2 linked regions of the Caenorhabditis elegans genome follow. The protein of the gene in region 2 purifies or fractionates together with the protein of the main gene of each other region. This does not show direct contact. Each region holds a gene or a part of one and is shown on either strand. Other genes may lie near its edges. The genes, in order: mlc-3 and myo-3.

Evidence for each region.
Region 1: the proteins of myo-3 (region 2) and mlc-3 purify together in Caenorhabditis elegans (affinity purification with mass spectrometry; 2 studies listed by BioGRID, with this or other methods). This does not show direct contact.

The regions. Positions count from the first base shown.
Region 1 is NC_003281.10:5,562,943-5,567,528, reverse strand, and holds mlc-3 (Myosin, essential light chain), read right to left. Parts: upstream 2,505-4,586; 5' UTR 2,398-2,504; coding exon 2,379-2,397; intron 2,209-2,378; coding exon 1,997-2,208; coding exon of another isoform or gene 1,955-1,996; exon of another isoform or gene 1,713-1,954; intron 856-1,712; coding exon 672-855; intron 618-671; coding exon 571-617; 3' UTR 522-570; downstream 1-521. Other genes in the region: rpc-2 (DNA-directed RNA polymerase subunit beta), read right to left, coding at 2,850-3,023.
Region 2 is NC_003283.11:12,231,200-12,236,284, reverse strand, and holds the start of myo-3 (Myosin-3), read left to right. Parts: upstream 1-1,941; 5' UTR 1,942-1,984; coding exon 1,985-2,120; intron 2,121-2,504; exon of another isoform or gene 2,505-2,640; intron 2,641-2,695; exon of another isoform or gene 2,696-2,888; intron 2,889-3,189; coding exon 3,190-3,401; intron 3,402-3,470; coding exon 3,471-3,627; intron 3,628-3,674; coding exon 3,675-3,974; intron 3,975-4,072; coding exon 4,073-4,601; intron 4,602-4,665; coding exon 4,666-5,085. UniProt on the Caenorhabditis elegans protein: Essential for muscle contraction. Involved in ovulation likely by regulating the contraction of gonadal myoepithelial sheath cells.

The sequences.
Region 1 (4,586 bases), on a different chromosome or scaffold from region 2:
TTCTTGCACAGTAGACGGAAAATAAATCAATTGATAAAAATCAAACTGGCAGTTTGTTTTTATCAGGTCATCGACTCAAAAGCTGATATTTCTAGCAGCCTTTCAACTTACTACATGTACTATACCAAAATTTCCATTTCATAATTATTCAAAAGGTTTTTTATTATAATCCAAAAAGGAGAACGAATATAAGAAACGAATGAATTTCTGAATAAAAAAGTGTAAAATGAAGAAAGAAAGAAAATTTCTTGATCATAGAAACAGGCTTGAATGTGTTGGAGAAAAAGAAGAGAAAACCGCGCGCTGATTTTTAAAGTGCAAAACGTTTTCTGGATCAGAAAACGGAATGCGCGCACGCGAGTGGAATCTCTTACGTGTATAGCGTAGAAGAAAACGAGCGACTAGACGATGGGTTTATAGACAAAAAAGTAAAACATCGTTATTTGGAACGGGGAGAAAGAAGGCAGAGAAGGGAAAGGGGAGCAAAAAATTTGGGTAAGAGAAGATGGTGTTTTTTTTTTCAAAATTTAAACATTATAATGGGTGTAGCACAGATTCAGATCCAAAAATTTAGTCCTGGTCTGGGAATGGTCCGGCCAAAACCTTCTTGATGAAATCTGAAATAAATTTCAATTAAAAAAAATTTCCGAGAAGAAAAAAAATCGGCTTACCCTCGTACTTGACCATGCCTTCTCCGTCTTCGACTCCCTTGAGGAGCTCATCGGCCTCATCGGCGGAAAGTCTCTCACCGAGAGCCAAGAGGATGTGTCTGAGCTCAGCGGCCAAGATCTTTCCAGTCTCCTCCTTGTCGAACACCTTGAGTCCCTCGTAGAAGTCAGCGTAGGTTCCTTGCTCCTGAAGAAATTGGAAATTTATATTGGAAAGAACAATTTTCTCAGTTTATAATCTCAATGTTAAATGAATGATGATCTGCTCTACATGCGGACCCTAAGGTAGGCATCTAACTCCAGTAAACATAAATCATTCCCTATTCAGGTGACAGTAACCTCGAACATCAGCTAATTCCATCCCGAAGCTCCAGAGAACTCTCTGATTTTCGCTTAGGATTCTATCCAAAATTCGTTAGACACTGACTTTCAGATTGTCAAATTTGAGTAGATATGTGCTCAGGTAAACTTCGCAGACTATTTAATAACGAAAGCGAAATGTGTTTCCCAAAATATCTGGCCAAACTTGCTATTTCAAACTTTATGAGTTGTCCAGTCTTCTGAGCTCAGTTCGTAGGTTTCTATTGGCTCTTCAAGATCTCCATGTGCTGTTTTGAATCTTTTCTAAGAAACTGGTTGCCTTAAAGCTTTCAAAATACTGACGGTTGTGGGTCCAGAGAATGCCCTAGTTGAATTCAATCAAAGATCTACAGGATTTTTTACCTTAAACCTCCACTAAATAGTCTGAGCTGGCAGCTCTTTCCAAAACTCAATAGCTCCTAGAAGCTTCATATATACTCACTCCATTCTTTTACCCGTATATGGGGATCCTTACTCAAGATCCCTTGCCTATTCCTTACTACTTCCTATCCATACAAATATCTACAACAAGGACCCAGTAGACGCAGAATGATGATGCTCTCTATTGTTACACTGTGCCTATGTGTGTGTTTGTGTGTGCCAAGAGAGATTCTCGAGAGTCCTATGTGCTCCTCTCCCACACATGCTTCACGGGAGCCGCCGCCGCCTATCTCTCTAAAGTTCTAGGGATCGGCTGGCATGTGCCGGTGGAAGAGGATGTTCAGATTTTTCAGACCCTTAGTTGTGATTTAAAAGTTTTCGGCTAGGGGTACTGTATGGGGTTAACCTCTGAGATCCAATATTTACTTAGACCTTGAAATAAAACAAATCTCAAGCTTCATCTTCTTTGTTTGATTATCACTCGGTGCGGGAGTTAAAGGTTTGGCGCGAGGCCCCTAGATCCCTAAATCTCAAAAAACTCTCAGCTAAAGGTTAAAGGCACAGGCAAGATGTTTAAAATACCGTACCTTCTCCTTGGCGAGTTGCTCGTACATCGGGAGCCACTCCTCGAATGTAAGTCTCTTCTCTCCCTTACGCTTGAACTCCTGTCCGGCGGCCTTTGTCACCATAGCCTGAGTTGGCTTAAGTCCGGCGGCGCGGGCGACATCTCCGACTTGGGTTCCGTCGATCTTGCCGTCAAGCTCCTCATCGTAGAGGTTGAAGATCTCCTTGAGCACGTCTAGAACGATTTCAAGTTTGAAAAAATGTTTGGGATTGTAGGGATATATTTGGGGAATTGGATATATTTTTGAAACATTAAAAAAAAACTAAAAATAAAATGTTTTAGAAGTCCTAAAACCTTATAAGGTATCCCTAAGAGCTGGGGACATTGCTTAAAAAATTACTCACCTTGGGATGGTGGAGCCATTATGTGATGATGTGTGAGTGTTGCAGCGGCGGCAGAGCAGGGGGGACTGAGTGTGGAAACTGAGTGAAGGCGACAGAGCAGTGGCAACCCAAGTGTAAACTGTGTGTGACTCTTCGTAGAGGATGGGGGCGGATTGGGGCGGATATTGAGCTCCCGCACTCCCGCGCGAGTACACTATTTCACCCCTCGGGAGCCCGAGAGATAGAGAGAGGGATGTAATGCTCAAGAGATAGAGTGGCGAGATGTGGGATGTGAGAGCGAGAAAGCGCGGCGTACTGTTTCAACAAGTATTTTCTAGAAAATTTTCATGATAAGTTTAAGAATGAATGTATGACAAAAAAAACAACAAAAAATGTTCAAATTTCGGGGAACAAGTAAAAAATAGATTAAAAAATGATTTGGGAAGGGGAAAGAAGAAGCATAACAACAACAACAACAATTACAAAACAAGGTTATTCGGTGTATCTGGCCAAGTCCAGCCTCGGGACAATGTTCATGGATTGAAGTTCCTGGAAGAGCAGCTTACACGCATACGGAATCTTAATGTTCGCCATTGACTTGCTCGAACGACACTTTTGGCACCAACCCTTCGAGCCGATTACTCCGCATCCAGTGCACACGTCGACCTGGAAAACAAGAAATTTATTAAGTTACATTGGAAATCTATTATACTCTCATCGAATCGTTTTTTTATACAAACTGAGTTTTAAGGAGTACCAAATTATCCTATAAAATATTTAAGCATGCGTCTTTTAACTTTTTTATGTTAAAAATCCATACTTGTGTTTTTTAATATCGACACATTATTATAAGGCTCAACAAGTATCCATTACTTTTGCATTAAAACGCTTGCCTGCCTGACCTTAAGGCAACCTCCGCCTGCCTCTCGCCTCAGTCCGCGAATTCTGCTAAACCATTTTGTTTCTCTGTTTACGGAATAGGTCTACAGTACCCCAATGCTCGAAATGTTAATTTATTTTATTTCCTCCCTCTTCAATAATTAATAAGATCTTTGTGTTTTAACACATCTTCACAAGTTCATTTTTCCCGTGTTGGCTGCCGAACTCGATTAATTCGTTGTAAACGTATGTTTCTCTATTCTCCCTTTCAATATCTTTATTTTCTTTCTCTATCCTCCCCGCGTGCCACTTCAATCGCACATTTTCTCGGCATTCCACTCCTAGGAGCACAGCCGACGGGAAGAAAAAGCACAGGCACCCACTGTGGAGATATCTCTTCCTTCTTATTCCTCCTTCTTCTGTTCTCTCTTCTGCCAATGCTTTTACTCAATGACGAGAGATGCGGAGATCAGTGGAGTCCACAGACTTCGGGGTGGAAGATATAGTGAAATGGCAATCAAGGAGAGATCAGCGAGACATCTCTCCACGAAGATCACACTATTCACCAGGCATCTCGCATCGGGGCAAAAATCTCATCTTTTCTTCTTCTTCTTCGATGACTATTTTGTGGGCAAAAAAAAACGAAAAGTAGGAAGGAAGAAGCGAATCAAGACGAGAGCTCCGAAGGTTTCCTGGAGGGATCTTAATGTGAGGTTCACTTCCAAGTCTTTAGATCTCTGATTCTTGTTTGCCACCTGGGACAGGTGCAGAAAATATTATTTTCGGTACGACTGTACTAAGAAAAGGCGGTTTTAGTAAAAAATGTTCTCAAAAACTCCGAAATATCGCTGAATTGTGAGAGATTTTTTTTATTTGGGAATGGATCTTGCTCGAATAGCACCGAAAATTTGATTTTTTTTAACTTCCGAGCAACAGAGATTCAGAGCCATTAAAATAGAAAGTTTTGCTTTTTTTAAAAAGTTTTTAGGGAAAATGCTTTTTTTAAAATCGATTTCTCTGTTCTTATAAAAAAGTGGGAGTTCAAAAAAAAATTAATAATCGGTTTCCGACCTTTTTTTTCGATATTTTCAGATAAAAGTCGGGAAATGTATTCTCTCATGATCAAACAAAATCCATAATTTTCTCTGCGGTAAATCAAAAATTTTCAAGAACCTTTCCAAAAAACGTCAACCCAGTTTCCAAGAAAAGTCGACCCGCAAAGTCAACCCACGCAAGGCTTCTCCCAGTCTCTCCCGCAACAGTTTCGCTCCTCATTTTCGCAAAAAAGAACCACTTGAGAGTGTTACGGCTAGTGTAATGATGAGCAAAAATTGCGCGCACACACACAAA
Region 2 (5,085 bases):
TCACAATCAGTGTTTTCAGGATTATGTGATGAACTAGATCTTCAAGTTTCGTTACATTTCATATGTTTTCGGAACTCACGAAGTACATATTGGGTATTGTGCTCAAAAAATTCAGCAATCAGCTTCGCTCCGCTGACTTTAGAACCCAAAAAAATAGTATGGCCAAACTGACTGTGTTACGATCATTTCAATTTTTCAATACATATTTAAGATTTCTAAGAGTAAGAAGGTCAAAAACTGTTCTGGAATACATATATATTTTTCAGGTTACAATTAGTCAAAAAGTGCACTGAAATATACGTTTTAATTTCACGAATAACCCAATTAGTTCAATGTATTTTTGGTCAACCAACGTTAAAGTTTGGCTTCCAACCAATTATCATTTCTGATCAACCACAATGTTTTTTCTTTATCTGCAAGTTAATTTTTTATTTTTATCCAGATGTTTGGCATATTTTTCAATTCTTCACTAGCGCCCACTTCTTGCACTTCCGGCGCCCTGAATCTAATGCATCTGTTGCAAGAATTGAAAGACCAATCAACACATTGTTTTCTTCACGAGATACTGAAGAAAATGAATAAAAACAGAGAAAAAGAGCCATGTGATTAGTGACAACTGTTGCTAACAGATACCATAGCTTGGACTTGGTACGTGATGGCAACGTATGGGTCAACAAAAATGATTGCAGAGGGGGTGCAAAACAGTCAAGTCGAGAAAATATGAAAAACAGAAAACAAAGAACAGAAAAATGGGTTTGAGAGTCAGTATAATTTATAAAAGAAAAATTGTACATAGAAATTAACCATTTTTGTAGAAGAAGTTATTTTTCAAGCATCGTTAAAAATTATTCAAAGCACCTTATTTCATATTTAATTTTAAACATGGTTAAATGAACAACACGGTGCGCAATCAGGAAAACTTGAAATCTGAAACTGTTGTTGTGATCTTCTTCGCAACTGTTCAGATAGCACTAGTGTAATGTTAAGAGTGCGCGAATATAATGGAATATAATGGATCACACCTCCTGCCATCAGGTAAACGTCTCTGTTATCACATATTTCCAACTATTAAATTTTTACCTTTTACAGTTTTACATTTTTTTGAAAAAAGTAACTTTTTGTCTTCAAAATCCCTGACGAAAATATCAAATATTTTAATCGAGACTGCAGAGGAACCGATTGATGATTTGGAAAATCCAGCTTTACCTGTGTAAGAACTGAAAAGTTTCATAACCCTAGGGTATTCCCAGTTACATTCCCCACTGGCTAACAATAGCACCCAGTTTTTCATCACCTTTCTTCAAATTTCTCGGCGATTTGTTAAAAACAAAATTTGTGTCCCTTCTCTGATATCTCTATGTCTCTAAACACAAGTTCATCGGAAAACGAAGGAGGGTAGGTGTTGGTTGGGCTCCCGAAGTGAAAATAGAAGAGCAAGAATAGAATATTAGAGAGAGAGTGCAGAGAGGGCGGGATAGCTCCCGGGATTCCGTTTTCTTCTTCTTTATCTTCAACGATGATGTGTGTGCGTGTTGTATAGATTCTGTTGCTCCCCCACAACTCGCTCCGAAGGCTCAATACAATTCAATTGATATTGGAGGAGAGCCTACCGGAGTGGGAGGATAAGAAGAAACATAAGAAGAAGAAGAAGAAGAAGCATGCTTCTGGTTTTTGATGCTATGAAAACGGCACAAAAAGATGATTGAGGTCCCTTTTCAATACCTTCTCTCATCTTTCAAATCCCATTGAAACCTAAAACTTCTCACCACGCTTTACCATTGTTCTCCAAAAACTTATAGCAATGTCTATAACTTTTTTATCTCTGAAAAGCAGTGTTCCATTTTTCTTTTTCCTATTTTATTTCAATTGTTTCTCACATTTCGTTTGGATTCTTTGCTTGTCAACCAGCTTCTTCTTCCACTTTTACCGTCTAATTTTCAGGGCAGGGAGCCATCAAACCCACGACCACTAGATCCATCTAGAAATGTCTGGAAATCCAGACGCATTCGAAAATGATCCAGGATTCCCATTCTTGGGAATCTCGAGAGAGGCCAGAGCTGCCACTGCTGCTCGTCCTTTTGATTCCAAGAAGAACTGCTGGATTCCGGATCCAGAAGATGGTAAGTCTTGATTTCGAATTGAAAATTTTAAAGAAAAATTTTGAACCACGTGCTGTAATATTTGGCAAGAATATTTTCCCATAATTTTAATAGTAACTGTGATATGTTCTAATTTTAGAAATCAGTTGTCAACGCTAAAAATGTAAGGGTTACAATAGTGGTATTGCAAAGAGTTATGATGGTTAAGTTTGTAAATACTTTTTTTCTGTTAATGAAACTAATTTGGATACAAATTTTTCATTTGATCTAAACAGAACATCTTAATCAAAAAACACTTTAAAACTCTTGCTTTGATATTGTTTGTTCAATTTCCTAATTCTTACCAAACCAATTCAAGCTAACTTTCATTATGTCCATTCCATTAACAAAAACTATTATTACACCTTCTCTCTCATCGCCAGTGTCCACATTCATCCTACTCTCCTACGCTTTCATCTGTGTCTCTCAGATCTGCATTTTATCTATGATACATCACACTTTCCACCGACCCCGCCGGGCAACCAGTGGTGGCGGATTTTTGAACATCTGAGGTTCTCTCATCTCTCGGTCATCTGATGAAGCACATACACACATACACACAACGGCACTTTGTAATCTTTCCGGAGAAGCGGGCAGGCACACACGTACGCTATGAAGCCGGAGCAAGAGCTTCTCCTGCCGTTTGAACTGCGGCTTCTGCTGTTGGCAGGAAAGATGATGAGATTTCTTGGAATTTAAGATTGAGATATTTGACGTCCCACATTTTATGGATGGACAACAATATGTACATGTTTTGAAGATTTAATATTGAAATGTGGATATGAAATCGGAATTTAAAAAGTCAAGGTCAATAAAATGGTAATTCTGACCAGATCTATTATTCGAGGATGACAAATAAAACTAGGATTAAATCAAAAATACTAAATTTGAAAATGAAAAAGAAAAGATTGTTCTATAACTTATAAATCTCACAATAATGATTTTTGTACAGAAACAAAAACTAAATGACATAATCGAATAAAACATTCTGATTTTAATCAGCCGCATGCGACAAAACATATATTTCTTGGAGGCTAATATTAAATTTCAGGATTCGTCGCCGCCGAGATCCAATCCACCACCGGCGAACAGGTGACCGTGGTAACTGTGAAGGGAAACCAGATTACCGTCAAAAAAGATCAATGCCAAGAGATGAACCCGCCAAAATTCGACAAGACCGAGGATATGGCTAACTTGACCTTTTTGAATGAGGCCTCTGTTTTGGGAAATCTCAAGGATCGTTACAAGGATTTGATGATTTACGTAAGGAAATTGAAACTATTCAAAAAAAAAATTAATACTATTCAAAAATTGAACCGACTTAATTTTCAGACATACTCCGGACTTTTCTGTGTTGTAATCAATCCATACAAACGTCTTCCAATCTACAGTGAATCTGTAATCAAGCACTTCATGGGAAAGAGACGTAATGAGATGCCACCTCATTTGTTCGCTGTCTCTGATGAAGCTTACCGTAACATGGTTCAAGGTATGTGAAAATTTAATTGTTTTAGAACTTTATTTTTCAAATTTCAGACAAGGAGAACCAGTCTATGCTCATCACCGGAGAATCTGGAGCTGGAAAGACTGAGAACACCAAGAAGGTTATCTCCTACTTCGCTATTGTTGGAGCCACGCAAGCTGCTTCCGGCAAAGAAGCCAAGGATGGAAAGAAGGGAGGTACTCTTGAAGAGCAAATTGTGCAAACGAACCCTGTGTTGGAGGCTTTCGGTAATGCTAAAACTGTCAGAAACAACAACTCTTCCCGTTTCGGAAAGTTCATCAGAACTCATTTCTCTGGATCTGGAAAGTTGGCTGGAGGAGATATTGAACACTGTGAGTGATCTTTTATGATTAGTTTTTAAGAAAAAATGAGATTGGAGGAATTTAAATTGAAACTAGTGAAACCATTCAAAAAAGAAAAATATTTTCAGATCTTCTCGAAAAATCTCGTGTCGTCCGTCAGGCACCAGGAGAGCGTTGTTATCACATCTTCTACCAGATTATGTCTGGAAACGATCCAAGTCTCCGTGGAAAGCTTAAGCTTAGCAACGACATCACTTACTATCACTTCTGCTCGCAGGCCGAGCTTACCATCGAAGGAATGGATGATAAGGAGGAGATGAGACTTACTCAGGAAGCTTTCGATATCATGGGATTCGAAGACAACGAGACTATGGATCTTTACCGTTCCACTGCTGGAATTATGCACATGGGAGAAATGAAATTCAAGCAGCGTCCACGTGAAGAGCAAGCCGAGCCAGACGGTGAGGAAGATGCTCTCAACGCTGCTGCCATGCTCGGAATCCAAGCTGAGGAGTTCCTCAAGGCTTTGACCAAGCCACGTGTCCGTGTCGGAACCGAATGGGTCAATAAGGGACAGAACTTGGAACAGGTCAACTGGGCCGTTTCTGGACTTGCCAAGGCTATCTATGCCCGTATGTTCAAGTGGATCATCACCAGGTAAATAACAAAGAGCAAATATTTTTAATTAGGGTAAATATTATTCTACTTATTTTACTTTTAGATGTAACAAGACCCTTGACGCAAAGGAGATTGAGCGTAAGCATTTCATCGGAGTGCTTGATATCGCTGGATTCGAAATCTTCGACTTGAACTCTTTTGAACAGCTCTGGATCAACTTTGTCAACGAACGTCTTCAACAATTCTTCAACCATCACATGTTCGTTCTTGAACAAGAAGAATACAAGCGTGAAGGAATTGCCTGGACCTTCATCGATTTCGGACTTGATCTTCAAGCCTGTATTGAGCTTATTGAGAAACCACTCGGTATCATCTCTATTCTTGATGAGGAGTGTATCGTTCCAAAGGCCACTGATATGACCTATGCTCAGAAGCTTCTTGATCAACATCTTGGAAAACATCCAAACTTCCAGAAGCCAAAGCCACCAAAGGGAAAGCAGGGAGATGCTCACTTCGCTATTGT